Callithrix jacchus: one gene and its partners. The protein of the gene in region 1 purifies or fractionates together with the protein of each later gene. This does not show direct contact. Links are inferred from orthologs where the notes say so. Each region holds a gene or a part of one and is shown in the gene's direction. Other genes may lie near its edges.

Evidence for each region.
Region 2: the proteins of GDI2 (region 1) and RAB4A purify together in Homo sapiens (co-immunoprecipitation; 3 studies listed by BioGRID and IntAct, with this or other methods). This does not show direct contact. The link is inferred for Callithrix jacchus from reciprocal best matches to the Homo sapiens genes GDI2 and RAB4A.
Region 3: the proteins of GDI2 (region 1) and RAB7A purify together in Homo sapiens (affinity purification with mass spectrometry; 3 studies listed by BioGRID and IntAct, with this or other methods). This does not show direct contact. The link is inferred for Callithrix jacchus from reciprocal best matches to the Homo sapiens genes GDI2 and RAB7A.
Region 4: the proteins of GDI2 (region 1) and RAB24 purify together in Homo sapiens (affinity purification with mass spectrometry; 3 studies listed by BioGRID and IntAct, with this or other methods). This does not show direct contact. The link is inferred for Callithrix jacchus from reciprocal best matches to the Homo sapiens genes GDI2 and RAB24.
Region 5: the proteins of GDI2 (region 1) and RAB8A purify together in Homo sapiens (co-immunoprecipitation; 5 studies listed by BioGRID and IntAct, with this or other methods). This does not show direct contact. The link is inferred for Callithrix jacchus from reciprocal best matches to the Homo sapiens genes GDI2 and RAB8A.
Region 6: the proteins of GDI2 (region 1) and RAB10 purify together in Homo sapiens (co-immunoprecipitation; 3 studies listed by BioGRID and IntAct, with this or other methods). This does not show direct contact. The link is inferred for Callithrix jacchus from reciprocal best matches to the Homo sapiens genes GDI2 and RAB10.
Region 7: the proteins of GDI2 (region 1) and RAB8B purify together in Homo sapiens (affinity purification with mass spectrometry; 3 studies listed by BioGRID and IntAct, with this or other methods). This does not show direct contact. The link is inferred for Callithrix jacchus from reciprocal best matches to the Homo sapiens genes GDI2 and RAB8B.

The regions. Positions count from the first base shown.
Region 1 is NC_133508.1:7,972,771-7,976,940, forward strand, and holds the start of GDI2 (rab GDP dissociation inhibitor beta), read left to right. Parts: upstream 1-1,370; 5' UTR 1,371-1,554; coding exon 1,555-1,599; intron 1,600-1,828; exon of another isoform or gene 1,829-2,238; coding exon of another isoform or gene 2,239-2,280; exon of another isoform or gene 2,281-2,434; intron 2,435-4,170. UniProt on the Homo sapiens protein: GDP-dissociation inhibitor preventing the GDP to GTP exchange of most Rab proteins. By keeping these small GTPases in their inactive GDP-bound form regulates intracellular membrane trafficking.
Region 2 is NC_133520.1:21,262,660-21,266,802, reverse strand, and holds the start of RAB4A (ras-related protein Rab-4A), read left to right. Parts: upstream 1-1,343; 5' UTR 1,344-1,510; coding exon 1,511-1,541; intron 1,542-4,143. UniProt on the Homo sapiens protein: The small GTPases Rab are key regulators of intracellular membrane trafficking, from the formation of transport vesicles to their fusion with membranes.
Region 3 is NC_133516.1:73,420,041-73,424,125, reverse strand, and holds the start of RAB7A (ras-related protein Rab-7a), read left to right. Parts: upstream 1-1,285; 5' UTR 1,286-1,479; intron 1,480-4,085.
Region 4 is NC_133503.1:68,847,358-68,851,525, forward strand, and holds RAB24 (ras-related protein Rab-24), read left to right. Parts: upstream 1-1,408; 5' UTR 1,409-1,832; coding exon 1,833-1,949; intron 1,950-2,032; coding exon 2,033-2,101; intron 2,102-2,295; coding exon 2,296-2,374; intron 2,375-2,479; coding exon 2,480-2,547; intron 2,548-2,627; coding exon 2,628-2,727; intron 2,728-2,944; coding exon 2,945-2,995; intron 2,996-3,134; coding exon 3,135-3,187; coding exon of another isoform or gene 3,188-3,197; intron 3,198-3,309; coding exon 3,310-3,453; 3' UTR 3,454-3,668; downstream 3,669-4,168. Other genes in the region: PRELID1 (PRELI domain-containing protein 1, mitochondrial), read right to left, coding at 282-507, 1,046-1,137.
Region 5 is NC_133523.1:14,726,577-14,730,691, forward strand, and holds the start of RAB8A (ras-related protein Rab-8A), read left to right. Parts: upstream 1-1,315; 5' UTR 1,316-1,329; coding exon 1,330-1,453; intron 1,454-4,115. UniProt on the Homo sapiens protein: The small GTPases Rab are key regulators of intracellular membrane trafficking, from the formation of transport vesicles to their fusion with membranes.
Region 6 is NC_133515.1:88,923,384-88,927,662, forward strand, and holds the start of RAB10 (ras-related protein Rab-10), read left to right. Parts: upstream 1-1,479; 5' UTR 1,480-1,991; coding exon 1,992-2,118; intron 2,119-4,279. UniProt on the Homo sapiens protein: The small GTPases Rab are key regulators of intracellular membrane trafficking, from the formation of transport vesicles to their fusion with membranes.
Region 7 is NC_133509.1:10,007,295-10,011,246, forward strand, and holds the start of RAB8B (ras-related protein Rab-8B), read left to right. Parts: upstream 1-1,152; 5' UTR 1,153-1,171; coding exon 1,172-1,295; intron 1,296-3,952. UniProt on the Homo sapiens protein: The small GTPases Rab are key regulators of intracellular membrane trafficking, from the formation of transport vesicles to their fusion with membranes.

The DNA.
Region 1 (4,170 bases):
TGCACTGCTGCACTCCAGCCTGGACGACAGAGCGAGAGTGTCTCAGAAAAATTTTTAAAAAGGGTATTTCATTAATAGAGGTAGTATGACCCCCTGATCACTTGAAGACAGCAACAGACGGACCTTCTTTAGTCATGATCTACTTAGCCAATAGAACAGTTACACTCACTTGCATAATCAGTTGCATGGCCAACTTTGCACTAATTCATTTGGTCACAAATATACACAATCAAATTAAGGCTGAACGTAAATTTAAACTTCACTTTTGCTTTCTTCTCCCCTCCCCCACCAAAAGGTCCATGGTCCAATATAATATACCTTCCTCATGGGTGAGAAACGTTGTGAAAACTTGTTTCATTCTTTCTTCAATCGGAATGATTTAAACATGAAGTTCGGTCTATCAAGGCATGCTCTGAATAGCTGCCATAGAGAAGTACTTGAATTCTTGAATACCAAATCTTTATTGTTTGCTGACTACGCAGATTTATCACGCGCTGAAAACACAGGTTTTCCAAGTATCAATGCCTTTGGGAAATTCACCTGCCTAGGCTTTCGTGGGGTCTGCTTACACCTGTGTCCTCACTGAAGCTAGATTCCTAACAGAATTCTAGAAAAAGGGAAGAGCGGGTAGAAGGCAAGCAAGGAGCAGTTTCTTACGGCCTAAACTTTGCACACCAAGACCAGCTACGACATTTACAGCGGCTTTAAGTTACAGTCCTCGGTAGGTGCAGATTGGCTTCCCAATGAAACCTGGCCTTCACTCTCATCTAAGGGTTACTTTTTCAAAAGAAGCCGCTTTTCCTCCTCCCAATTTCCTAAGGCACCCGCCCGGCAAAGCACCAAACAGGGAGGATACAGGGCGGGAAACAGGACACGTGTGATCTCCGAACTCTTCCCGGCGGGCTCCGGGCCCCGGCGAACCCAGCCCCGCGGAGGAACCGCGGCCGCCACCCCCAAAGAAGGCCTGGCGCGCGTTCCTCGCCCACGTGCACACCGCACGCGCCCGCTCAAAGTTCTAGGGCGGCGGTCCAGCTCTGGGACCTTGGACCGTGCGAGCTCCCGCCCCGACGGCGGGGGTCAGGAGCGTGGTGGCCGGGACCTGTCCCCGCCCGCTGTTCCGTGCACCTCCGCCCCAATGCGCGCGCCGCCTCCCGGACCACCGTGGCAGAAGCTGCACGGAGACCGGAAGCCAAAATGGTGACGCTCCACCCGTTTCCTCTCGCGAGAGGCGGGGAAGGAAAAAGTTGAGCGAGAGACAAGCACGTAGCCAGTGAGAGTTACGGGAGTGCCTGATTGGCGGCCCTCGCGGCGCCTGCAGGCCACGCCCCGGCTGCGGAGGCTCAGTCACCGCCTTCCCTTCCCACCCCTCCACTCCCTGCTTAGTTCTGTTCCCGTCTGAGGTGGCGGCCGGTCTGCCTTCGTCGCCAGCTCCATTTTCCTGTCCTCTCTCTTCCTCTTTCCCTCGCGCCCGAGAGCGCTTCCAGCCTCGGAGGGTGGTCCCGGAGCTCCTGCGCCTTCTCCTTTCTCGGGTCCTGCGTCCGCGCCTGCCCCGCCATGAATGAGGAGTACGACGTGATCGTGCTGGGCACCGGCCTGACGGTGGGCGCACCCCTGCCTCCTGCACGGCCCGCGGGTCGCAGGTCCTCGGGGGTCTGGTTCTGCCGTCAGCCGTAGTTTTCCTGACGGGAGTCGTGGGTTGGGGGCACGGGCGGCTTGGGGGCGCCCCGCGTTCCGGGGCGAGCGGGCGGATCCCAGTGTGAGGGGCGGGCGGGGAAATGGAGAACCCGGGCCGCGAGGCTCGGGCGCGGGGTAACGGCCGAGCCCTGGCGGCTGCGCTCGCTGCCTGCGGAAGCGGAGGAGAGGGAGAAACCCGCCCGGGCCGAGGCGCCAGCGCCCTGCTTTGGGCGGGTGACCTCTCGCGGTTGGAGACGAGCACCCGAGGCTGAGGGGCGGTGCAGGCCTCGCTGTGGCGTTTCCTACTCGGCCTCGGCCGCTGCCCCGGGTCAGTCTGGCTGCCAGAGCCGAGCACGGCATTTCGTGACAATTCTTGGATAGTAACTGATTCGGAACTGCCAGGGATTGACAACTTCTATTTTTGGAGAAGACGCAGAAATCAGTCTTTTAATCCTTCCCGCCCCCCCCGTGAGAAGGATCACGGAATCCTTCTGGCCACTCTCGCTTCCACTGACTGAGCATCTGTAGAATGGAAATTGAGATTTTTCCAAACTTGTATATCAGATGCTCCCGCACCTGACCTCCGCCGCCTTCTCCTTTTGTTTGGTGGGTTTCCTGCCTCCTTTGTCTCTCCTGGACTCTTCCCTAAGAACTGGATTGGTGATGGATTGCCAGAGGCCAAGTTCTCTGTACTCCGGAGCTTTCTTTAGGGAGTTGGAAGATAATATGAAGAATGCATTGTGATACGTGAATATACAAGGTGTACCTAATAATGTGGTATATTGATTTTCCTGATTATCTGTCTGCTCAGAGAACTTCAGATAATCTGCAGATAATGCAGGCAGGCGCTGTAGTTCGTACTTTTTCTGTTTTTTTTTTTTTTTTTATGACTGTTCATCTTGCAAAAAAATTCGATTTGAAAAAATATTTTAACAAAATTATGGGGGAAATTTGAAATTATGCTTGATCATGATTAAGATGAATACCGATGTGAATCTTGTGTATCCTATGTACTCTGACCTCAAATTCCTGAGTCATTTAATGTAGACTTAGCCTTCAATATTTTTGAAATTTATTATAATCTCTCAGGATCAAACTAATAGTTTTCCCCCCACAGGCAACATCTCCAAATAATTTTCGATGTCTCTAGGCAAGAGAAAACCTTCGAACTTTTATTTGGCAGTTTTTTAAGGAAAGGTTTGTTAATAATCAGAATGGTGTTTTTCTGGCCTGTCATTTTTCTGTTTATAGTTATATGCAATTATTAGAGGTTATTCTTTCCGAATACTTTGTTATGTTTGACCAGTCCAGGAATAATCCTGTGACGGTCTTGGAGAAGCTGGAAGACTGTTGGATGGCCAAGTGAATAGGCCCTACCCATTGCAGGTTTTGTGTGTGTGTTTTTCTAAGTGCCTGATTGGGATTCCAGGCTGAGCTTAGCAGTATGTGGTGGATTTTGCACGTTGGAATGGGTAGCGTTGCTGCCAGCATGTTGTAAGAGCCGGATAGTTGCACTGTTTTTCTATGGTGGTTGATGGTCTTTCAGATTTGCTTACAAATGAGGTCAGTTGAGCATGGACAAGTGAGTGCAAATCCACCATCATGCAGGCTTCCACAAGCCTCGTTCACATCACATTGTATCAAAGATGGTGAAACAGTCTTTTTATATAACAAGTTAAGATAATGAATGCACTTTTAAAAAATTTTCATTTGAGATGTGAACTCTTTGATGAATGATGGATGAATACTTAACTAGAAATCAGACCCATTTCTGCTGTTGTTTTGTGGCTGTGATAACTTTAATCTCTGAGCCTTCCTAAGTTTTCTGAGATGTTCTTTGATACATCAGTCCAGGACAATCACATTATTAGCATCATTGATAGGAGTAATGATGACAGGATGATTTCGATAATGAGAAATCTTATATCCTTACTTGTAGTGATACCAGGAATTAGACGACTACAAAGTAGAAGAAGAGAAAACCAGTTAGCCCTCAGATTAGAATTAACTTTTGAGTGTCTGGAGTTAGTTTTCTCAAAATTTACTTTATACTTAGTGCCCGAGATTGAAGAACCTAAGAAAAGGCAGGTACTTTCAGTGCTAGAAACTTGTTACTTTTAAAGAAGTGAAGAAGGTGCTGGAGTTTTGTGTTGCTTAGTGCTGTAACTGTATCAGTTGTTAAGTCCAAGCTCACAGTCACAGATGCTGATAGTAATGCTAATAAAGAAGATACAAAATGATTTGGTATAAAGGAGTAAAATCTTCATTCTGTGTGTAAAAGAAATGGAACATTCCACGCACTTGAATTTTCTAAGGAATTCAGGGTTATCTCTGAAGAGCCACAGGTTTTGGATAATGCCTTTCTAAGTGCTGTCACAACGTTTTTTTGTTTTTAAACAAACGAAGAAACAATTTACTCGATAGATAACTTAAGATTTCACATCATGAAGATTAATGATTGTGTTAAGCTGTAACATGTTGAAGTTGTGAAGACCC
Region 2 (4,143 bases), on another chromosome or scaffold:
GGGAAGCTCTGATGACAATTTATGTGGAGGATGGAGCCAAACTGACTCAGGAAAAAAAAAAAAAAAAAAAAAAAAAGTATGTACTGGCATTTTCCACACAACCCAGGTCACTTGGGAACTAAGCCAAGGATATTTTGAGCATTCAACTACCTATTGTGAACAAGGCTGGGAACTATGAGGCGCTACGTGGCCCTGATCATGCTCAGATGGGCCAAATTATCAACCAAAATTCTCTTTCCCATAAATGTTTATCTCTACATTTCCCACAGAAGGGGATTCAAACTCACTTTTGCTTCTGAAACCAAACTATCCAAAGCCAGGTGAGATGACTCACGCCTGTAATCCCAGCAATTTGGGAGACCAAGGAGAGAGGATGCTTGAACTCACCAGCTCAAGACCAACCTGGGCAACATAGTGAGATCCAATCTCTACCAAAAAAATTAAAAATTAGCACGGTGTAGTGGTGTGTTCCCCTAACCCTAGCTACTCAGGAGGCTGAGGCAGAATTGGCTGGGCTGGGCTGACAGAGCCAGACCCTATTAAAAAATAAAAATAAAAATTCCTAAATTTGGAAACATCCCCAACTGAGAGCCAAGAGATACGTCTCAGCCGTAACCCAGAATCCTGTAATACGGGATGTGGAGAGGTTACTGTCTGTAGGCTTGTGGTGACCCTTCAGCACCTGGGCACCTTGCACTTCTGTGGATCCGCCCACATCCGCTCAGCTCCACCCAAGAGGGTCGGGCAGTTGGGAGTGAAAGCTTAGTAGCTTCCCAACAGGTGAATGAACCTGCCTCCCACTCCCAGGGCGGCCTCTGGCCGTACACCTGGGGCCTGCTGCCTCCTTGTTACACATTAACCAAGTCTGGCCTCGATAGTAACACCGTCAGGGAAGTTTCTTCCTGGCTGACAGCCACAGATGATGAAGGTGGACAACGTCTTAACGGAAACGGGCCAATTTGGCAAATGGACTGCTTTCCTCTCCAGTGCTGGCACCTTCCTCCTTTGTCCGGCAGCTGGACCCCACTGTCCTCAGCCCTCTGTCACCCCAAGCCTGCCCACCGCCCGCCTCTCCCCGACCTTCCCTGCGGGAAATCCGGGCTCAACCCCCAGATCCCGCAGCCGCAGCTCGGCCCGCCCGGGCGCACACCGCCAGGCGGCCCAGGCCATGCACGTGCTTGCGCCGCGCGCCGAGGTCCCCGTGCGCCCCGCCCAGGCTTCCCCGTGCGCACGCGCAAACGCAGGCCCGGGCTGGCGGCGGGGAGGGGGCGGGCCTCGCGTAGCCCTCCTCCTCCCGGTCGCGGCCGGACCGAGGGCGGAGGGCCCTGCGCCTGCGCGGAGCCGGAGTCCGGCTGGACTGCAGCCGCTGGGAGGCCGGCGGTTGCCGTGGGGACCGGTTGGGCCCCTCCCTCCTCCGGTCCCCCTCCCCAGGGCCTTCCCCACCGCGACACGCCGGCGGACCGCGGGCGAGAGCAGCCGGTGACCCGGCGAGAGGCGGCGCCGCTCCAAGATGTCGCAGACGGCCATGTCCGAAACCTACGGTACGAGGCCCGGGCTGGCCGGGCGCGCGGGTCGGGCCTCGGGGGGCGTCGGCGACGCTGGGCAGGGCCTGGGCTGTGGGGGTCTTGAGGGTCTTTGTGGCACCGGCCAGAGCCGGGGGACGGATCTCCAAGTGTCGGCGCTTGGGACGGGGATGGGTGCGCGGGCCGCGGGGGGCTCGGGGTGGGGTAGCGGGTGTGCGGGCGCGGGCAGGGCTGTTCACAGCGCACTGGCGTGATTCGCCTTTTCAAGTTTCCTCCTGCTCTTTCTCCGCGCTTGCACTCTTAGCGTTTTCCCCTCCGTCTAATGTAAATAACTGAAGGTTTGGAAAGCCAGCTTAATGTTCTGTTTCAGCTGCGATATTATCCCCAGCGAGCGGTGTGAAGGGCTTGGGGCGACGCCTGTGCTCCTCAAACACTCCAGTTTGACCTTTCCTGGTTTGGAATTCCTTGCTTTACGTTGGGATTACAGTGAGGAGTTATTGATAGACGAATTCAGCTCTTCCTCCGGAGACCTCTTGCTTCGTTTATTTCTCCCTCTCTCTCAGTGGTTTTTAGCCTTTTCTGGGTTGCATTTTGGCTATTTATGAACATGTCTTGTCTCTTGTCTCCTTAAGACCGTAAGCGCCTTGGAAGCAAAGTCCTGGCTGTTTAATCTTTGTTCCCCTGCAGCACTCAGACCTGGAGGTGCTCGACAAATATTGTTTTGAATAAGCGAAAGCTTTCCCAATGCATATACTGTGTCCTTCCTCTCTCCCTCTCCCTCTCCCTCTCTCTCTCTCTCTCTCTCTCTCTCTCTCTCTCTCTCTCTCTCTCGTCTCTCGCCTTGCGTGGCAAGAATAAACAACTTGTACTTTGTATCAGGGTTGAATATTTATAGAGGTTTACCGGTCCCTAATCACTCTTTCAGATGTTAGTTTTCTCAGATTAAGACTTTGATTTGGAGTTTTAAAATCCCAGAGAGAGGCTCAAGATCAAAATTACATACCTCAAGCCAAATTAGTCCTGTCTCCATCTGTCCGGGCGTGCTGCTTTCCTTCCCTGCAACAAATGCTGTGGAATGGCATTAGGGAAGCAGGCACCACGCTGGGAGGGCTGTAAGTACTGCAGAGACACGGCTCTGCTCTCATGGAGCGTACAGTCTGTTGAGGGAATGCAGTATTAATCCAGTTGTGATACTAATGAGTGAATAACTTAAAACCAGGCAAGAGTTCTGAAGAAATGTGGTCTGCGAAAGTGTGTTAGAAACAAAGTTGACCCAGACAGGGGTGTCAGGGAGGCATTAACCAGGCAGCACACAGAACATCTCAGGCCTGTGGGAAGGGCAATTCCAGAAGGGTGTTTCAAGCATTACGCTGGGGAGATGGATGAGGAGGCAGAGAGAAGAGGGCCCTGAGGAAGGCGTCAGTCTGTCTCCTAAGAAAAAAAATGAGAACTTTTGGAAGGGTTTCCGTGCTGGAGTCACAGTGCATTTGGTCCAACATAAGTGAGTGACTCCTGTGACTGGTACTGCCCTGCTCTTGGTGACACAGGGGCATGACATCTGTTCCTAGAAGGCTTAGGATATCTTCCAGTAAGTCGATGCCTTCATCATGACAAGTGTTTGCAAATGCTTCTGCAAATGACAGTGGTCTGGTTCTTCCTGTAGAGAACCACAGTCAGAAATGTAAGGAAAACGTACTCTTTAGCAATTTTTGGTTACAGCTTTGCACTTCTTTCAAGTGCTCTTTAGCTCACACTTAGTTTCTTTAACCTGAGTAAGGAGCAGGGAGCACTAGGGAAGGGTGGAATGTCCAACTAAGAAAAGCAAATGGGGGTCATGAATCAGTAAGAAAGGACTGGAAGAGTTCAGGAGATAGAGCTTTTAGTGCTTCATTTTTCATAGACACAGCCGATAAAATAGAGCATATCTTTGGCATCTCCACTTCAGACACAGTTAACTGAACTTCTCAGCATCACAGATTGACTGATTAAATTCTAATCATAAGGCTTTGACCATTAGTATTCTTATTTCATGGTAACTTTCAAATATATTTTTACTTTCCAACTCTGAATTGAATTTTTTCTTCTGATAGAGGAAATTAAAAACTAGTAGGAACTAATCAATAGAAAATGAGGCCAGACAGGATGGCTCATGCCTGTAATCCCAACACTTTGGGAGGCCGAGGTGGCCAGATTAGTTGAGTTCAGGAGTTTGATACCAGCCTGGCCAACATGTCGAAACCCCATCTCTATTAAAAATACAAAAAATTAGCAGGATGTTGTGGCACACTTGTAATCCCAGCTACTCAAGAGGCTGAGGCATGAGAATTGCTTAAACCCAGGAGGCGGAGGTTGCAGTGAGCCAAGATTGTGCCGCTGTACTCCCACCTGGGCAACAGAGTGACTCTGTCTCCAAAAAAGAAAGAAAGAAAATGAGTTTTAGAGAGAGCAAGCAGGACAGCTGAAGTTTGCCAAGCTAAAGTAAAAGTCACCTAGAACCAAGTCCTGAGCTGTCACTTTCACTTATCATTGGCCATATTTATACAGCATTGTTTCTTAAAAGTCAAACAGTCAGGCTCCCTTCTGGACTTTTGCCTCTGAGCTGGTGAAAGAATGTTTGCCT
Region 3 (4,085 bases), on another chromosome or scaffold:
CAAGCTGGTCTCCAACACCTGGGCACTTGCAAAGTGAAAGCAGAGAAAGAGTAGACTTACTCCAGAGGCAGATGGTATGCAAGGCCATTTCAGAATACACATAGAGAAAACAGGAGAATAGATTGTGAGGTTTTTGGGGAAAGAGCCAATTTTAGTTGAAAAAGGGGGAACCCCAGACAATGTACCATCTCAGGCTTGAGACTGCTCGCCTAGCTCCTAAGATTTTTTTTTTTTTTTACCCAGGCCCTTCAACTCCTGAGATCTTATCGAGAAGCTGCTGATAGCCAGCTTTGGGTGTTTCTATCTATTGGGAGACTGCCTCTCCCCAGGTCTGGCTGCAACCACTTATTGTTTTAGAGTGACAGCTTAACAACCACCTGACCACTACCTGATGGTTGCCTCACATTGCTGGTGGGGGAGTGGCCCATCTCCTGCCCTGCTCAGGTCTGACTACTTATCTACTGTAACAGTTGCAAGGTTTTTGGATGGAACAATTGAAAGAATGGAGTTTGAATGAACCAAGATAAAAAATGACTATGAAAGGGCATTGTTGAAGATGTGGACAAAAGTTCTGAGTGGATCCTGATGTGTTCAGATGGGGCTGGTGCTTGCGAGGCGGCTCCATGCTTGCAAGAAGAGTTCTACTAGGTCCATCTTTGTCACATCTTCTTTAAGACTAAGTTCAGAGAGGCTTAGCTATTTTTCCATTTTTGTGGGCTGTCTCTTCTGCCAGACAGTGTCTTTCTTTTAAGTGTCTCTATCGCCGAGCCACACAATTGCTGTAGTCATTTACAGTCTACTAGAACGATAACACACATTGGCATCAGACAGACCTTGGTTCAAAACCCTGCTCCACCAGTTTCTGTGTTGAGCTAGACCAAGTGACCTGATATGCTGGGTCTCAGCTTCTTATTTGTAAAATGGTGATACTAATCTTTGCTTAAGTGGTTAAAGTAAGGATAAATGATGCCTTCCGAAGAAGGACACAACTGGAATGGCCAGTTTACCCCTCGTCCTCTCTTCGCTGGCATTCTTTATTCTGTAGTAAGGACGGATGGCTGAGGGAATCCGTCTGCGGGTCCAACATGGCGCCGTCCTGCTTCTTGTACGAACCTCAAAGATGGGGACTATCTCCTGGGAGCAGACATGTTTGTAGCACGTGACCCAGGCTCAGGCACGAGGCAGCCGGAACGTGACGCAAGGTTGAGGCGGGGCTCCACCTCCTCACCCTGGCGTCGAGCGTCTCGTGACAGGTACTTCCGCTCGGGGCGGTGGCGGTGGCGGAAGTGGGAGCGGGCTTGGAGTCTTGGCCATAAAGCCTGAGGCGGCGGCAGCGGCGGAGTTGGCGGCTTGGAGAGCCCAGGATAGTTCGCTGGAACTGGAACTTGGACTTCCCCGCTTTTGTCCTCCGTTGAGTCTCCTCCTCGGCGGGAGCCCTCGCTACGCGCCCGGCCCGGAGCCCCCAGCGCAGCGGCCGCGGTAAGCAGCGGGCCCAGCCCGGCCGGCGGCCTGGCCCCATCCCCCTCTTCAGCCCCTCGGTCGCCAGGGCCTCGCGTCCTCCCTGTCCTCCTGGGCAGACTCCGGGCCCAGCCCTGGCCTCGCGGGGAAACTCGGCATCGCTCAGGTCCCTGGAGCAGGCCCGGACCCCGCCCGGCTTGGAGAGGTCGGAGGTCGTCGGGTGTGACCTCTGGCTGGGTTTCCGACCCCGGCCGCCAGTCTCGGACGCTCTGTTTACTGTTGGTGTCGATCTCAGAGACCCGAGAGGGTTCCCTGACTTGGGCGGCCCTGCGCCGCGGCAGGACGCGCTAGCCGGTGGAGTTCCTTAGCGCGGCGAGACTGAGGGTGTCGGAGCCCACCCCGCCCGCCGCTGTGCCCACCTGGCGGGCATGGGTCACAGGCGCTTGGGCCGAGCCGCGCGTTCTCATCCGGCTCTTCAGTTGAACAGCCTGACCCTGTTAGTGGGAGAGGTTCCCTGACAGCAACTGAGTCAGGGCAGTGAGTCAGGTCACGTGCGCTGGGCTCGGCTCGGTACTTGTGTACATTGAGGTGCCTCTGGCGCTGGGAGACGGGGAGCTTTTTGTCATAGGCATGTTACGGTAAATCCTGAGGTAAGTTTTTCAACTTATTTGAGGAAAGATGGTAGTTGGATGCAGAGTTGTGTTTCCATTCCGACCGTGTTGGGGGCCTCTTTCTGCATTCATTTTAGTCTTGTTACCTATGGTTCATAAGGGGAATATTGAGAATACTGACAGCAAATATTTGAGCGTTTATTGTATGTTAGGCAGCGTGGCAAGACCTTTTAATAGATCATTATGTTTACCCTTTGTTGAAAGAAAACATAAATCCTCTGAAGTACCACTGTTGTGCCCACTTAACAGTGGGAAGTTGAAGAACAGAGAGGTTAAGTCATTGGACCAAGGCCACACAGCCAATAAGTTATGAAGCAGAGTTTCAAGCCGAGGCAGTCAGAGTCCAGAGCAGTGTATTCAATTTCTAGGTTATACTGCTTTCACTTGCCCCCAAAGCTTGTGGTTTATCTTTTGCCACCTGGTATCTGTACCTCACTGCCTCCCACCACCTCCTTTCTTTCTGTTGATGTCATTCGAAAGTCTTTCATCAGTTCTACCTTAAGGCTATAAGAAATGCCATTTGCGACTTATCACACATGTTGTGGTGTACTATCACCGAATTAGGAGCTCTTGAATACTGGCAGGGTACTTAATTGAGGTTTGAAAAATTTTGCACGTAGGCCTGGCAAGCCTGCTTCGTGAACCTTTCTTACAACCTTAGTTGATGGCTGTCCAGCCAGTTGGTTCTTTACTATTGAAAATACTGCATCTTTAGTTTCCTAAAGAACAGGCTCTTGTCTCTTCCTTGTGACTTAAGCAGCTGATGAGGCACATGATTTCTCATCCATGGATTAATAAAATCTCCTCTTAGTGTGTTTCTCTCTTCTTACTTGGGAAGGTTTGTTCAGATTTGAGTGTAAGAACTGGAAGGTGAGTTAGGAGTACTTCTGAAGGGACTGGCTAAGCTAAAGCTTAGTGTTCACAATCCTGTTGTATTCAAATGTGTCCTTTTTTTTAAACTTTGCTACCCAGCCTAAAATATTTAAGTGAGTAATAAGTACTGTAGCTTTATATGATGTTTGAGTTTAGAGGAGAGTAATGATAGGCACCTTTTTATTCGTTCATGAAGTATTTTGAGTATTCATTGAGTATCAGCAATGTATCAGGCATTGCGGGATATTGACTCAGGGAGATAGGCATGGTTCCTGTCCTCAAGGAATTTTTAAAAGGTGAATGATCTTGGCCAGAAATTCTGTTGTGGAATGATTTGGTGGCAGAACTCCAGGCTTTTTGAAAGAGTTATTTTCTCTTCTCTGCTGATGAATCAGTAGTAATCCAAAGGCTGGTGTTCTGGCTAACTTTAAGACTTCGTTAATTTCAACAACAGCATTTGTATATAAGGCTTGCTCTCCAGAGAGTGTAGAAGATAATATTACAGTTTCTAATTAATCTCATCTTTTAAAGAGTAACCTTCAGCACTCAACTTGTTTCTCCTTTTGCTCTAGTGGCATTTTATTTAATTTTTTTTTGAGATGGAATTTCGCTCTTGTTGCCCAGAGTGGTGTGCAATGGTGCAGTCTCAGCTCACCACAACCTCTGTCTCGCTGGTACAAGCAGTTCTTCTGCCTCAGTCTTCTGAGTAGCCGGGATTACAGGCATGCGCCACCATGCCTAATTAATTTTGTATTTTTAGTAGAGGTGAGGTTTCTCTATGTTGGTCAGGCTGGTCTCGACTCCTGACCTCAGGTGATCTGCCCGCCTCAGCCTCCCAAAGTGCTGGTATTACAGGTGTGACCCATCTTGCCTGGCCAACTCTAGTGGCATTTTTTGTTCACTCAAGAGGTAGTCTGTGTCACTGCCATTAATGTTGCACTGCAGTGTCTTTGAGCAAAGATACATTTGGCGTGCTGGATTTTTTTCTTCAGCTGGGAAGAAGGTTTAATGTAGCACTGATACTGTACCAGCCATAGTTTCAGTACCATTCTAGGTAGAAAAGCTGTGCTGCCCTATCTTCCA
Region 4 (4,168 bases), on another chromosome or scaffold:
TTCTGTGCCATATACCTGATGGGAGTGCTTTGCATTTAGAATTTAGGACAACTCAGTAAGAGAGGTACCTCTCCCCTACTGTATGAATGCGTCAGACAGGTCCAGAGAGGCTGACCAGCTGAAAAGAAGAAAATGTGAGGTCATACTCTACAGCTGTCACTCCTCAGTAACCCAGACCTGCCTCAGACCACAAAAGCTCCCTCATGGCTCTCTAGACACACGTATCTGAAGAGCTCTATTTGGGGGTGGGGGAGGCAGGATCACAGCAGGAGGTGTCTCACCATCAGCCGGGCGTGGTTGATGTTCCAGGTGAAGGTGGTCATGGTCTGATTCTGTGGGTCCACAATAGAGTCCTCCAGGATGTACACCGAGTGAGCAACATTGGCAGGAAACAGTCGCTCGGCCCAGCGAGGCATCCTGTTGGTCTTGGTCAGGAGTCGCCGGGACAGCAGTTTCTGGTCAGGGGTCACCTCCCGGTGTACTATGTCTTCCGTCAAGACATGTTTGCTGCAGGAGTCAGTGAAGGTGGCACTCAGGAGCCTGCCCCGAGACTGCCCGAGGGGATTCCCGTTTGGAATCTCCAAGCCCAGAGAGGCCTTCCTGTAACCTTGCAGAGTTGTATGTGTTATGGTTCACACCAGAGTTAAGAGCCCATCCCAGGGCAAATTCCAACTCCCGCCATCTGGCTGACCTGGATTCCTGGGCCTTCCAGCAGCAATAGACCTCATGATTTACTGCACCTCAGGAAAGTGCCACGAGCAGAGGATAGGATTTCCGACCCCAAGATCCCTCCCAACTCCCCTACTGCCGCCCCTTCTTGTCTCACGACCCTGAGAAAAGAACCTTATATTAAGATATCAAGTAAACCACCACCCAGGCCCAACCTCCCTTCAGGACCTTGCAGGCCTGGCCTGGCCGCTTCCCCGATAAGGTCTACGTAGGATTAGATGTCAACTTCTTTCTGGTCCCATTACTCGGGGATTATCCATACTTTGATCTCCAAATAGCGAGATGGTGGGGTTTTGCTCTCCCAAACACCACGTACCTATAGGGATTCGGGTACCGCTGCCAGAAGGCGGCGAACACTTGGTCCCAGGAACTCCGGAGCAAGCTCTGGCCCAGGAAATACTTCACCATCGTCCCGGCCGGAGCGGGCTCAGCACCCACGCAGCATCAGGGGTGCGGAGCCTGGGAGGCACGCGGGGGCCGGGCCGGGCCGGGGCTCGGCGCACACCCTCCGCCAGGCTCGGGGCTCAGTCACCACCGCACCGCGCCCTAGCAGCTGCCGCCGCCGCCGCCACCGCCATGAGTTGTCCGGCTGCGCGCCACTTCCGGCGCAGCCACACGGTAGCCACCGCTTCCGGCGCTCGCGCCACGTGACGTTGCGGCCCCGCCCCCTCTCCCTCTCGCCCCCTCCCGCGGGAGTCGCGGCGCTGCGGGTAGAAGCCGGGTTGCCGGAGACCCTAGGTTCGATTGGTACTCGAGCCGGAACTGAGTCTAAGCCCGCAGGCGAGCGAATGACGGAGTAGCGAGCTGCACGGCGGCGTGCTGCGCTGTTGAGGACGCTGTCCCGCACGCTCCCAGGCCGCCCCGGGGCTTGGGGTCTTCGAAGGATATTCGGCGCCCGGGGCGGAACAGCGGGGGCACACTGGGAGCTGCCGAAAGTGCAAGGCCACGGCCAGAGCTCGACCCCATCGCGCTGTCTCGAATCGTTGGTTGGCGCCGTTTGGGGTTGGGGTCTGAGGCCTGGGCGCTGCCTGGGCCGAGCGGAGATCCGGGTTCGCCCCCGTCCCCGCTCAGGACCCTGACGTGGCTGAAGCGGCCCCGGGAGCATGAGCGGGCAGCGCGTAGACGTCAAGGTGGTGATGCTGGGCAAGGAGTACGTGGGCAAGACGAGCCTGGTGGAGCGCTACGTGCACGATCGCTTTCTGGTGGGGCCCTATCAGAACGTGAGTGCACCCAGAGGGGCCAGGCACGGTGGGCGGGGGCGTAATCTGCACCTATGGCCCCAATCTCTTCCCTCTCGTTGCAGACCATCGGGGCCGCCTTCGTGGCTAAGGTGATGTCGGTCGGAGACCGGACTGTGACATTAGGTATTTGGGTAAGTTCCCTGGGCATCTATTCTAGGGAGTCTCATTCTTGAGGAGGCTTAGGTCCTGCCTATTACTGATTGATTTGTGGCCTCACAGACTCGTTTCTCATTGACCCGTTTCCTTATCTGGAAAATAGTGGGGTCTGGAGAACATGGCCTTAAGTTTGACTCAGACCAGGGCTGAGCCTGTCCCTCCTCTTTAGGACACAGCAGGCTCTGAGCGCTATGAGGCTATGAGTAGAATCTACTATCGGGGTGCCAAGGCTGCCATCGTCTGCTATGGTAAGGGGGAGTTCTGGGCTGGCCCACAAGAAGAAGTGGGTGCCAGGCTAACCAGAGAACAGCCCCTGATCACTTGGTTGTGTCTCCTGCATGCCCCACACCAAGACCTCACAGACAGCAGCAGCTTTGAGCGAGCAAAGTTCTGGGTGAAGGAACTGCGCAGTCTAGAGGAGGTAGGTGAATAGACTTCACCAGAAGACCAAGGGCTAGGGTTCTGTTGGTCTTTGGAGGTGACGCTTGTCTTGTGTGTCAGGGCTGCCAAATCTACCTATGTGGCACCAAGAGTGACCTGCTGGAAGAAGACCGGAGGCGTCGACGTGTGGACTTCCATGACGTCCAGGATTATGCAGACAGTAGCTGTTCCTCACCCTTTGGGGGGTGGGGGTGTGTGGCTGTCTGGGTGGATCACAGAAAATAGGGACTGCCTTGGCTGCTAGGGCAAGGTACTCTAGAAGGGCTTCCTAGCTTCCTTGAACTGTGGGGTCCAGGAGACTCCCTGAACTGCTAGTCCTCCCTTTTGTCTGCTTATCTAATTCTCAGATATGAGGCTTTAGTCACTTCTCTTTACAGATATCAAAGCTCAGCTCTTTGAAACATCCAGCAAGACAGGCCAGAGTGTGGGTGAGTGCTGTGCTGGGGCCTCACACAGGAACAGGCAGGGGCACCAGAGGAAGCTGAATAGGGAACAGAGGGCTGGGTCACTGGGAGATCCCAGGACTACTGGCATTGGGCCCTCATTGATCATCATTTTTCCTGCCAGATGAGCTCTTCCAGAAAGTGGCAGAGGATTACGTCAGTGTGGCTGCCTTCCAGGTGATGACAGGTGTGCTTCCCAGCCTTTATGGACTTACTCTAGGCCCACAGCATCTAGCCTCTTTTCTGAATTACCTGATCCCAAGAGAATGGTGCTGAGCAGCCACCTCTTTCTTTGACAGAGGACAAGGGCGTGGACCTGGGCCAGAAGGCAAACCCCTACTTTTACAGCTGTTGTCATCACTGATTCACCACTCACCTGGCCTGGGAGAATTAAAGGAGTTCCCCAGAGCGGCTGGACCCAGTTCCTTACTGGGCTTGGGTAGTCAAATGTCTGAGCTAACCCAGGTCCTCATGTCAGCAAAGGTGGCACCTGCCTGTGCTGGCCCATGGAACGGAGGCAGCATTGGGCTGACTGTGGGCATGAGGAGGGATAAGGGCTTATTTGGACCCCAGGCTTCTGCCCTGGACAGCACTTGTGTCTGCAGATTATTTAAGTGGCTTCTGATCTGTAAATAAAATCAATGCACTGTGAATCACACCCAGCCCCTTTCCCTGCTGTGTGAATTGGGTGTCAAGACACCCAGTTCTTTCTGGGGCCACCCAGCTGGCCTCACTGGTTTATATTAAGGTTTTCCTATCTCTCATTTTCCTTTGGAAAACAAGACTTCTCCCCAGGGTTACAACTGAGATACTGGGGCTGGGGTAGTACAAAGCTCACAATTCCTTCCGAGTGCTGCAAAGCGTGTGTGAGCTGTGTTGAGATAAAAGGGTCAAGCATTTTATCCAGGTTGGTCTGACCAGCTCTACTGCATCTGTCATGTTTGGGCCCATATGTCAGACCTGTGACTCAGGTCCTGAGCATCCCAGTGACATCCTACAATGCGGTTTAATGGTAGAAAAGTCCTAAGTTCTGTAAGACAGAAAGGTCTAATGGATCCAGATTTGGTTCCAATTTAGAAAAGGGACTTAAACCCTCAGCTTGAGTTTATCATCTGTAAAATAAGGTGACTACTACACAGCCCAAGGATTGTGAGATCC
Region 5 (4,115 bases), on another chromosome or scaffold:
CAGCCTTGACCTCCAAGGCTAAAGGGATCCTCCCACCTTAGCCTCCTGAGTAGTTGGGACTACAAGCATGCAATACCACACCTGGCTAATTTTTTTTAAGTTTTTTTGTTTTGTTTTTTTTTTTGAAAGAGTCTCGCTCTGTCACCCAAGCTGGAATGCAGTGGTCTCGAACTCCTGACCTCAAGTGATCTGCCTGCCTCAGCTCCCAAACTGCTGGGATTACAGGCATGAGCCACCAGACCCGGCTGCAAGCCCGATTTTCCTAATGTATCCCTCCTTTTCTTTTTTCGAGTGTCTCGCTCTGTCGCCCAGGCTGGAGTGCAGTGGGGCAATCAAGGCTAGTGGAGCCTCAATCTCCTGGCCTCAAGCGATCCTCCGCCTCGGCCTCCAGAAGCGCTATGATCACAGGCGGAAGCCACCGCGACGGTCTGTTTTTTCAATGTTGAGAGGACCACCAGACACAGAACCGCCGACCCTAGATAGGACCCAGCATCCTCACTGCCCTAACCCGCAAGGCTGGCCCGGACAACCCCTAAGGCGGCCGAGGGCGGGCCCTGAGGGGGACGGCGCGCGCCTTGGGGCACAGCTCGTGGCGGTGACGCCGCTCAGGTGGCGGAGAGCTTGGGTATCTCTAAGCAGGTTGCCAAGCCACAGCCGAGACCTCGGATCTCGCCTCGGGGGTCACTTTTCGATTATACAGCGCTTCCTCTCTCCTTCCTCCCTCGGCTCACGCTGCCCCGGCAGACCACAGACGTATAAAAAAGCTCTTCAGTCCTTTCCCGCGCTCGCTTCGGCGCCTACTGAGGCTGCGCGAATTGTGAGGGCGAGACCCAGAGATACCCTCCCCAACTATGCGCGTGCGCCCTCTGCTGGCGCCTAACGGACCTCCGGGTGCGCGTGCGCACGCACCCCAAGCCCCGCCCACAGACTGTCGGCGCGCGAGCCGTTGGCGCTGCTCGCTGCTTTCCCTCTCCCATTTTGGGGCGGGGCCGGGCCGCCGAGTCTGTGGTGGAGGCAGGGGCCACATAATGCCACGCCCCCGTCTCGTCCCCCTTTGAAGCCCCTCGACTCTTTACTGCTGGTCAATCAGAGCCCGTCCTCATATCAGTGCTGGCCAATGGGAGGTACGCTCGGGCTGCTTCCGGCTCCGCGCTACGCTCGCCCCCTCCCCAGGTCTCCCCGCGGCGGGCGGGACTCAGGGGCGAGTGTCGGCCGCGGTGACACGCTGCGGGCCTGGAGCCAATAAGGGGCGGGCTCGGCGCTGATGGACGGGGCTGGTGGCCAGTGGATAGGCGCTAGCTGCACTTCCTGTCGGGGAGAGAGTGTAATATGGCGAAGACCTACGATTACCTGTTCAAGCTGCTGCTGATCGGGGACTCGGGGGTGGGGAAGACCTGTGTCCTGTTCCGCTTCTCCGAGGACGCCTTCAACTCCACGTTTATCTCCACCATAGGTAGCGGGATCCGGGAGTGGCTAGGGGCGCCGGAGGCCCGGGCTGGGCGCGCCCCTGAGGGGCTGGGGCTGAGAAATCTACCCTGCTGGGCGGGCCGAGGGCTCTGAGAGGGTCGAAGGGAGAAGAGCAGCCGCCTGCACCGCCGTTTCGGGGTTCATGGGCCGTGGCGGGGGAGACCAGGTGCCCATTTTGCAGATGGGGTGACTGAGGCTCCCATCCTCAGCCCGCTCGTTAGGGAGTGTTATGTCCTGGGCAGGCGTCTTCGCACCCGTCCTTTCGGTCTGTCCTAGCAGCAGCCCTCGAAGCGGTTCTTTTGCGGTTCCTGTCTTACAGAGGTGGAAACTGAGTCATGAGGAATTGGCTGTGGGAAAAAGACGGTGACATGTCGCCTTAATGAGCAATTGCTATGTGCCAAGTCCTTCACGTGCATTTCCACACTCTAGTTTCGGTGTTTTAAGTGCTGTTATGAGCCCGTCTCACAGATGAGTAATTTGAGGCTCAGGGAGGGCGTGGGACTTATCCAAGGCCACACAGTCTGCAGGTGGTGAGAATGGGATTTAATGGAATTTAATCCTGGCTGTGTCTCACCCCAAAACTCGAGGCTTAGCTCTTCTAGAGAGTTAGCACCACACACCCCTGGCTGATGACAAACTCAGTTAATGCACCTTGGAGCCGGGACTCTAACTCACACCATTCCTCCTCTTCTCTGGAGCATCCAGAGGTTGAGTCCCTCTCCTTGCCATGTTTTCCCCCATAAGTGTATTTTCCTCTAGAAGAAATGATAAGAGGAGTCAGGACCTTTTCCCTGCCTGCCTTTTATCCTGCTCCAGGATGACAGCAATGGCAAGTGACAGTGCTGCCTGCCCTGGGACCTGTCATCCCCAAGAAGATGCAAGATAAAACCCTCAATGAGAAACTAAATCAGCCACTGCCACAGACAGCCTTGACTTCCCTATCAAAGGGCCCAGGACACCGGTTGTCAATTTAGAACAGCTTTTCCCGTAGGGCCAGCCCACATCGTGGTTGAACAAAATTGGCTTGTTGTGATGTCTCAGTTGTGATGTCCACAGAAGTAGAGTTGACCTCTCTCAGCGCCACAGAAGCAGTCCTGGCCCACGATGAAAAGGTTAGACCTGGGAGTAACACCGATCAGAGTGGCCTGTGAGCTCTGCAGCCCTGCTAGGGATGGGGATAGTGAGGGAACGGTCACTAAGTCAAGGAGTTTATTCAAAGTCAAGAAAACATAGAGAATGGCCTTTGCTTTATGTGTGACTTCAACAGAATCGTGTTATCTCCCTAAATCTCATGATAATGTGCCAATTCCATTCTTGCCCCCCTCGAGGAGCTGCACTTTATGAAACAGTTATATGCCAGATGTAAAGTAGAGAGAATTAACTGGAAATCATCATGTCTGGTTCCTAGTTGCTGCTGGCCCTTGAACGTGCACTACCCCTCTCTGACCCCTGCTGTCTTCAGAGCAGGAGTGACGCTGTCTGCCTGGGCTAGTGCCCTGGTGGTTGAGGACTAGAATTAGACAATAAGGGGTTGTCATCACAACCAGAGGCCATCTAGAGAAAACAAATGAATGGCTCCTGTGGTGACAGCTTCCACCCTCTGAAGACAGATGTTTCTGAATTCTTCCCCCTCCCCCACTCCAAGGCCAAGCTTTAGGGTAACCCTTGTGCCCCAGCCAATCAAAAAGTGGCTTTAATTCAGCCTGGACGACAGGGCAAAACCCCATCTCTGCAAAAAATCAAATGAAATTAGCTAGGCATAGTGGCTCACCCATGTAGACCCAGCCACTTAGGAGGCTTAGGTGGGAGGGTGGATTGAGCGCAGGAGGTCAAGGTGCGGTGAGCTCTGATGGCGCCACTGCACTCCAGCCTGGGCAACAGAGCGAGACCCTGTCTCAAAAAAAAAGAATACAACTGTGGGCAGACTGTGGCTTGCATTTACCCAGTTCCCAGTTTCCTAGCCTCAGCACCTTCCCCTCAAACCCCCTCTTTAGAGTTACTTTAAAGCTTTAAAGAGGCCATCTTCCATTTGCAGATGAGGATATGACTTGGTGAAAGTTAACCTAGCAAGGTGACCCCAAGATCCCTCCCTCCCACCCCAGCGTTCCGCTCCTTCCATTTGTAGCCTTCTGTCTTCTAGGAAAGTCTAATTCACCGTGACCTTGAAGTTCAGGCCTCATAATTCTTAGGTCTCATAAAGTTTGCACTTCCTAATTAAATTTGGCGTGTTAATAAAACCCAGCAGGAGTGTAGGGCAGAGCGCTACTGTGGAGCTTAGCCAACCTAACAGTGCTCCTTGATTTTGTGTGTCCCTGTGCACGCATGGCAGGAGGTGGGGTATGCTTTAGGAAGCCTAGGCACACTGGGCTGTCTAATCCTGAAGCAGAATCTCTCAATGCTTAAAGACAATTCCATAAATTAGCCAGACGTGGTGGCACTTGCCTATAGTCCCAGCTACTCGTGAGGCTGAGGCAGGAGAATCGCTTGAACCCAGGGGGCAGAAGTTGCAGTGAGCCGAGATTGTGCCACTGCACTCCAGCCTGGGCAACAGAGCGAGACTGTCTCAAAAAAAAAAAAAAAAAGCGATTCCGTGTTGGCTGAGGGCACCTCTGGGTTTTCTTTATAGACCAAGGATTGAGTGGCTGTTC
Region 6 (4,279 bases), on another chromosome or scaffold:
ATGTAGTTTTTACTTTCCTATCCCTGTTTCTTACTTCCCACGTCTCAGCGTTTTTCGCTTTATCAGGCTGAACCAGCTCACCAGGTTCAACTCCTGTGCCAGCACACCTAGACGTGCTTAAGGGATGGATGACCCTGAGAACGGAAGGTCAGCAGCATACACATTGCAACTACGGAAGGCAAGGAGAAAAAGAGCGGTGTAAATAGGATTGATGGGGAGAGAGGTCAGAAGTAGGTAAAACAAATGAAGAGAGAATGCGAGGATGGAGGCTGTGTCGGATTGGGGGTAGGCTTGACCACCTTTCAATTTTTTTTTTTTTTTAATCAGACGAGGTCTCGCTCTGTCGCCAGGCTGGAGTGCAGTGGCAAGATCTCGGCTCACTGCAATCTCTGCCTCCCAGGTTCATGCGATTCTCCTGCCTCAGCCTCCAGAGCAACTGGGACTACAGGCACGTACCAACACGCTCGGCTAATTTTTTGTTTTTTTAGTAGATATGGGGTTTCACCGTGTTAGGATGGTCTCGATCTCCTGAACTCGTGATCCACCCGCCTTGGCCTCCCAAAGTGCTGGGATTACAGGCAAGAGCCACCTCGCCCGGCCCACCTTTCAATTTTCAACCCAGTACGACTCTGGTGGCAGGTAGACGCTCCACGTCCTCTGCGGAGAGCTCTCGGGTTCTCCCGGATTCCTAAAGGCCAGCAAAGGCCTAGAGCAGGTTCTCTGAGCATCGCACATAACCTTCCACTTCGCGGGGTTGTTGTTCCTGCGCCCAGGTGTTCCTCAGCCTTCCTCTCCTCGCCCAGGAAGAGGCTGTGGGGATTACATCATACCAACCCGAGCAGCATGGCCAGGTTTTCCATCTCCAACTCTTGCTCCAGAAGCGAACCGGGATGGAGCGCTCAAGTTTCCCCGTCAGGGTTGGCCCTGGCGGGGGGGAGGGGAGCGGGTGGCACGCCGGGAGGAGTCTCGTTCTAGCAAAGAAGCTATTAAATGACCCAAGGCACGACTTTTTCTCGCATTCACGAGCTCCACCTACACAGGAACACATGGCCACCCAAGCCCGTCGCTGCGCCCAGACCTCCGGCTCAACACACCCGACAAACTCTGTGCAGAGAAACCGCAGCGCGGGCTAGTCGGCGACCCCGGGAAAGGAAAGAGGTGCGCGGTGCGGAAAGCGTGTACCCGAAGGCGCTGCGCCTGCGTAGTGGCTAGGCAGCGACTCCCGAGGGGCGTGCTCGTAACGCCGCGCACCCTATCAGGCGGCCAAAGGGAGCGCGCCGCGGCCTCACCCCCTCTCGCCCCTCCCTTCTCCCCTCTGGGTTTAGCTTCAGACTGAGGCTTGGAGGCCGGAGGGGGCGCTCCACTCTCCACCCAGGCGCGCCCCACGCCCTCTTGTGCGCGTGCGCAGAGGCGGACCGCAAGGCGAGGGCGCGAGGGAAGGGCGGGCGTACGTCCTTGCGTGCGTCTCAGGCAGCGCGCACGCTGGCGTGAGAGGGCACGGGGGAAAGGTGGCTCTGGCCGGGGTGGCTCGGCTTCCTGGGGCTATGTAGCTGAGCCCGTCGACTTGGGGGTTCTTCTTCGCTGTCCTCGCGGCGTGCTAGCGCAGAGTTTCTGCTCCGGGGAGAGACTGTACACACGCCCGCCGCACCTCCTCGACGGCAGAGCAAGCTTGCTCGCCCGTGGGAGCGTCCCGGCCGAGAAACCCTGAGGGGGGAGGGGAGGCCATTTTGTCCCGACCGACTCCCCGGAACCGGGCGGAGCGGCTGGGAGAGGCTGCGGAGCTGCGGTCGCCGCCCTCGGAGGCACTGGACGGAGGCACTGTCTGGGCTTCCTCGAAGCTGTTCGTAGGTCGCCCGCACCCTCTCGAGCTTTCCTTTTTCCCACGCTTCCCCGTCCTCCGGCCTGAGAACGCCCGAGTGAGGAGTTGGCTGTAGTGAGAGGGACCGATCCCTTGGGGCCGCCGGCGGCGAGAGCCCGAGCCGCTCCTCCCAATGGCGAAGAAGACGTACGACCTGCTTTTCAAGCTGCTCCTGATCGGGGACTCGGGAGTGGGGAAGACCTGCGTCCTTTTTCGTTTTTCGGATGATGCCTTCAATACCACCTTTATTTCCACCATAGGTAAGACCTGTGGGAGGACAGTGTACGGTCTCGGTAGCTGCAAACCTTTTATTTTACTCCAGACATCTTGCTTCCCGTGATATACGCCTTTGTTTCGGTGATTCCGATTCCAAACGACAGACCCAAGTTACTGTTTGAATCGGTATGGAGCTTACTGGGGCGGGGTCTTCCATGCTTTCCATCCGGCCTTTTGCTTTCAAGTCTCCCACTATGCTCAGTGCCTTCGGTTACAAAATATGCATCATTTAACCACGTTCCGGAACCTTATTTCTTCAGGACTGGCTTTTTCCACATTTGCGTGGAATTATTAGATGTGTGGTATATGTAAGGTATTTATTTCAGTGGTTGTGATAGAAGCAGTACTAGCTATTTGGGAAAGGCCTGAGTTTATACTCCGGGGCAAAAAGAAGATTCCATATGGTCATAACTTAGAGTAAACTTGAGGGTTTGTGTGTAGAATAATTAAGGCAAATTAGAAGGGAAAAGTGAGTTGTCCTCCTTGACTAATCCATTGATGTGTCAAACAATCGGAGGCCCTTCGCGCTTGGGGTGGGACTCTGGCATATTTGCCTCAGTGCCTTTTGAGACATCAACAGAAACAGTAATCTGAGGGAGATATGATCAGTTTCTGTCCTCAAACCCAACAGAATGAAGTCAAGTTCTCTCTTCTGTTTCGACTGTAGTATTTACAGGAAAGTATTTTGCCAGTCATAGCCCTAAGGACTTCTAATGTACTTTCACCACGTTTCAGAATTACTTAGTGTGGAAGTAAGAGCTAAAGAGTGACCTTTTAAATCGAATTTCCCATTTAGGAAAGGAAAAGGGAAGGCTCTAGGAAAGTCCCTTTTGAATCTGGTTAGAAAATTTAGTGGCGCTGATGCTAATTGTGCTAAATTAATTGTGAAACTCATCCGATCCCCAATACATTTCTTCAAGACACATAGCTGCCTCTGTCACTTGGAGCCCAGCACTCAGCATTGTGGCGGTGTAGTTTAACCCATTTTTAAATGTAATTTTCTATTGAGACGATTTTAAAAAGCAACTGCAGTTGTCTTTGAACTCTGGGAATTGTTAAAATTAAGCTGATTTGAAAGAATTTATAGCGTTACTGAAATAATTTGGTTTGGATTTTTGTGCGTGTGTGACAAATAGCTGCTTCATTCTCACAAAAGAAATTACACTGAAATTAAATTGGACAAGTGGTTTTTTAAAAATAGATTTTTATTTTGCTCACCCTTTTTGGGTGGAAATTACAGTTCTTATTTCCGGAGTATCTTACTGTTCTCTTGGTCTTTCACAAATTTCATGAAACTTAGAACTTGTTCTCTAACTTCTGGGTTAGAGAACACTAGCACTTAGCGCTAGCACTTACAATGCACTAAGTTTGCTTTTAACACTCCACTTTTAGCTGTAGTTGGGTGGGGTTAGGTGATCAGATGGGTCAGCAAATATTTACTGAGCACCTAATGCTTGGCACTATTCTTAGGCACTGGGAATAAGTGGTGAACACAACAGACCCCTCGAAGAGCATTCCAGTGAGGTCAATCATAACAATGTGGAAGGTGCTACAGTAGTAACCATAGGGAGGAGGACTGGCTAGCCTAAATCGTGAGGAGTCTGAGTAGGCTTACATAGAGATGATATCTAAAATGATGAAGTCTGAGGGACTAATAGGAATTGGGTCAGAGGGGTGAGATAAGGCCTTTCTGGAAAAGGGAACATAGAACAAACGTATAGTAAGGTTGAGGATTTAATTCATGTGGTCAACTTTATTTTGAGACAGAATTTCGCTCTGTCACCCAGGCTGGAGTGCAGTGGCATGATCTCAGCTCTCTGCAGCCTCCACTTCAGGGGTTCAAGCAATCCTCCTGCTTCAGCCTCCTGAGTAGCTGAGATTAAAGGTGCCCACCACCGTGCCTGTCTAATTTATGTATTTTTAGTAGAGACTGGGTTTCACCATGTTGGTCAGGCTGGTCTTGAACTCCTGACCTCAAGCAGTCCACCGCCTCAGCCTACTAAAGTGCTGGGATTCCAGGGGTGAGCCACCATGCCCAGCCATGTGGTCACCTTTAACCTGTCATTAGGAACAGTGGTGGATGGAGAGAATTGGAAGCAAAACATTGTCTACTCCAATGTTTTTGTAAAGGGTACATGCCCCCAT
Region 7 (3,952 bases), on another chromosome or scaffold:
TCCACAAAACAAAGAATTAGCCGAAGACAATAAATAATAAAGGATTAACCTGAGTGTAACAGAATGCTGTTTCCCCCCTATATTTGTCATCAGTTAATTGAGAGCCTACTGAAGAGTGATGAATATTACCATCACCGCCAACAGTTCTACGGTGCCTTATGGGTTTCGAAGAGCCTTCACGTTTAGCATTTCATTTAATTTTTCACTAGAATCCTATGAAGCATCTTGTTTCATATCCATTTTACAGTTAAGAAAACTGAGATGTACAGTGCCTGCGTGACTTGTCACAGCGGTTAAGGCGCAGAGCCAAGACTAAATTCAAATCTTATTCTGTAAGTTCCCGTGGCCCGGTTCCTGCCTCACAGGATGCTTGCAGTTTTATGGGGCACAGACCTGTAGCACAAGGCTTCCCAGATTTAAAAATCCATCCTCCTCCGGCATAGGGGAGCGATCAGCGTAGCAGATCCTCTAAATACCCACCGTGTTTGGCTCTGGTCTGTGTGGTTTGAAGAAAGAGGCACGAGTGAGGTTCGAGTTAGCACGGTAACCATTCTTTCCCAGCTCTGTGACTGAGGAGCTGCGGGTGGGGGATTACAGTGGTGCTGGGCATGGCCTGGGAGAGAAGCTGGATGATGCACTCTGCAGATAACCCGTAGGCTGCGCCACAGCAGCGCCAAGAAAAGAAAGCATCTCTGCTCCGGGTCTCCGCGGAAGAGATGCGGGGACTACGGGTTTCTGATTCTGAGGTCCTGGATTTACAAGGCGCCCGCACACAAAGAAATAACAAAGTTCAGTTCCGGCGGCTTGACCAGCAGAGTTCGAAACGAGGTCTCCCTTCCCTGCTCCGGTGGAAACGCCCCCACGCTCTCACCCCGCCCACAGCAGGTCTTTTATCCACTGGAGCCGCCAGGACAGACCGCGCGGGGCACGCCCGAAGCTCCCCGGAGGAACTACAAGTCCCATGAAGCCTCGGAGAGCGGGCAGTGATGACGAAGCCCTCGCAGATTGGCAGTGCAGGGCGGGGCGCGCAGGCTTTCTCCGAGTGGAGGGGCGGGGAGCGGGGCGGGGCGAGCAGCGGCCGATTGACGGGCACGCCCCCTCGCCCGCGGCCCCCTCCCGCCTCTCTCCGCCGCCTCCTCAGGCTCCCCGGTCAGAGGGCCGGAGCGAGAAGATGGCGAAGACGTACGATTATCTGTTCAAGCTGCTGCTGATCGGCGATTCGGGGGTGGGCAAGACCTGCCTTCTGTTCCGCTTCTCAGAGGACGCCTTTAACACCACCTTCATCTCCACCATCGGTGAGGGAGGGGCTGCGGCCCGGGACCGGAGAGAGAATTGGGGGGCGGGTACGAGGGGATGGGAAGCGGGCGGGGGGCGCTTGGGAGCCCGGGAGAGGAGACCCCGGGGACTGCAGGGTGGCTGGGGTACTGAGAGGGGCGAGGGCGTGAGGGAGAGGGGCGAGCGGAGACCTGAGGCAGGGGCGAAGGGGGAACTTGGGGGCAAAGGAAGGGGAAGGGGAACAGAGGAACAAGGAATTGGGGGTTTGGGGGAACGGGAGGGTTCGGAGACAGGGAGGGGTCCTAGAGGGACAAAATGTGTTGGGGGGAAGATGCAGGAAATCTCATGTAGGGAGAGAAGGGGATCGTGGACGCGAAAATGGATTAAAAGACAAGAGAGGAAGGAAATGTGAAAGGGGGAATGAGAGGGACGTGAAGTAAAGGGATAGACGACACCAGGGACAGAGAGGTGAGAGCCAGGCAACTGGAAGGGAATTCAGGGGAATGAGCGGTCGGGAGGCGAGGAAGAAGGGGGACGCTGGTCACAGGAGGTCTGGACAGAGATGTCGTAGGAGGGGCCAGAGGAAAATTGCAGGTGGAAGAAGAGTTCAAGGGACCTTCGGGCGGAATGAGGATACTTGGTGGAGAACGTAAAGGAGAGATGGGTGTGAGACGGAAAGGAAAAGCAGAAGCAACATCGTAGTAAAGGGAGGTTGAGCAGCGAAGACGGAAGATGGAAAAGGGAGGAAATGGAAAGTAGTAGTGTGCAGGACGAGTTCCAGCAACTGATTACCATTTTCTCTTTACTTCCTTTGGGTCAAGTGCAGGAGAAAGCAAAACGTGACTAATGATGGAATTATGTCTATAGAGCGTTAATTTGTTCTGTGATTGTTAACGGATGTTAAGGGAATTGGTGACTTTTGGAAATGGTGTGGTCAGGAAAATATGGTCCACCTTACTACCATCTCCTGAGAAGCAAGTCTTCTCGGTATCTTAAGTCCTTGGGTTTGAATGTTTAACAACTTCTCAGCCAAGGAATTGATCTTACATTCTGCCCACCTCCCGCCTCCCTGTATATTTTGCTTTGATTCTAATTATTGTTAAATGAATCACAACATGTGATATACCTCCCAGTTACTTCCAATTGATTCAAGAGTTTTTCTGATCTTGGCTGGAGCTCTCCTTCCTACTTTTGTACTGAGAGACACTGTGTTCAGGTAAGAAGATCTCTTAACTTACTATAAACTGAAGGGTTTTAAGCTCTTAGAAATGAACACCTTAGCATCATTTTCTCCTGTTAAATAGCTGCGGATTAATTAAGTACCTTAAGAATCTCAGCTTTTGGTTGTCTTGGTGATATTTCTGGCCTCTAATAATAGCTTATTTAGGCGTCTTTCATATGGTTCTTACAGCATATTTCACCATGAATTTCTGGGTTGGGAAATAATAGGGAGCTAGGGCTTTGGTAATACATGTGTTTACATATTTGTGTATTTTAAAGGGTAATTTATCTTTTTGTAAAACAGAGTATTCGATATAGAGCACTCTTTAAGTATTAGAAAAGACTGGGGTTTGTTTGTTCATTCTGGTGTCTTTCATATAGATTGAATGGTCTAAAACCTCCTATGATATCTGGGCTTAGGGAAGTTTGAATTGCAAGTTCTTGGCAGTCAGTCTTGAGTGGGACTTTTTCTTTTCTGAGAAAGCACATTTTAAATGTCATCTCTCAAGTAGATGCCTAAGATTTGGTGGTAGCTGTTGGTACCGCAACTGAAGGGCGTTAAGTTTTAACACATATTAATTACAAAGCCTCAAATCACTGTTTTTCATTGTTGAATGCATACTGCAATACAGATGATAAAGGATAATTTCTAACAAGTTGAGTGGGCGTCCTTTTGTCCATTCTGTGTTTGATCCTCCGAGGAGCATCTCCTGCCTTGAAAGTAAGTGAATCTCACTGATGCTGTTTCTCATAAGTTTCTTGGATGACTTGCTTGTTTGTAATATTTTTATTCATTTTCTCTATTTTTCCTTATTTTTTTGTCCTGTGTTTCCTGTAAGGATGTCTGCTTCCTTTTAAAATAGTAGCTTTTAAAAATTACTTTCATTTTGAAGGATTCAAGTCTGTGAGTCAATTAAAAAAAAATGATGGAAACGAGGCTCTTTGGAGGCTTAATCGCTATGAAGGTGTGAAAAGCAGCGTCCTGAAACAGGTTGGAATAGGAAGTGCTCATTAAAAGGAGGTGAATCGCATGGGAGATCTGGGTCTTTATATTTTCTCTGAGGTGGATGTGGTAAAAAGGCTGTGAGCTGTGTCTTCAGTTGATGTGGAGGAGGGGAAATCCCATAACTCTTATTTAGCCCTGGGGCTCCAACAGGAAGTGGTAGCACACTGTCTTCAGACCGCAGAATTTATATACCTGAAACCTAATGCTCTGCAGTCAAAATTAAGCTGGGAAAATAAGGTGAATGTTAGCACCATTCTGGTTCCTCAGAGTCTTCACTGCTTACAAGTATAGATTTTGGGTGTTCAAATCTCCGGCAGCCACTTCCCCAGGCCTCTCACCTCATTCCCAGGTGATCTGAAGTTGTTGAGGTGACAGTTGGTGGACCAGCTCCTCCCTAGTCATGAAGTACCTAGGTCTGTAAGTTCCTGGGCTCTTCTGACTGGGTTTTGA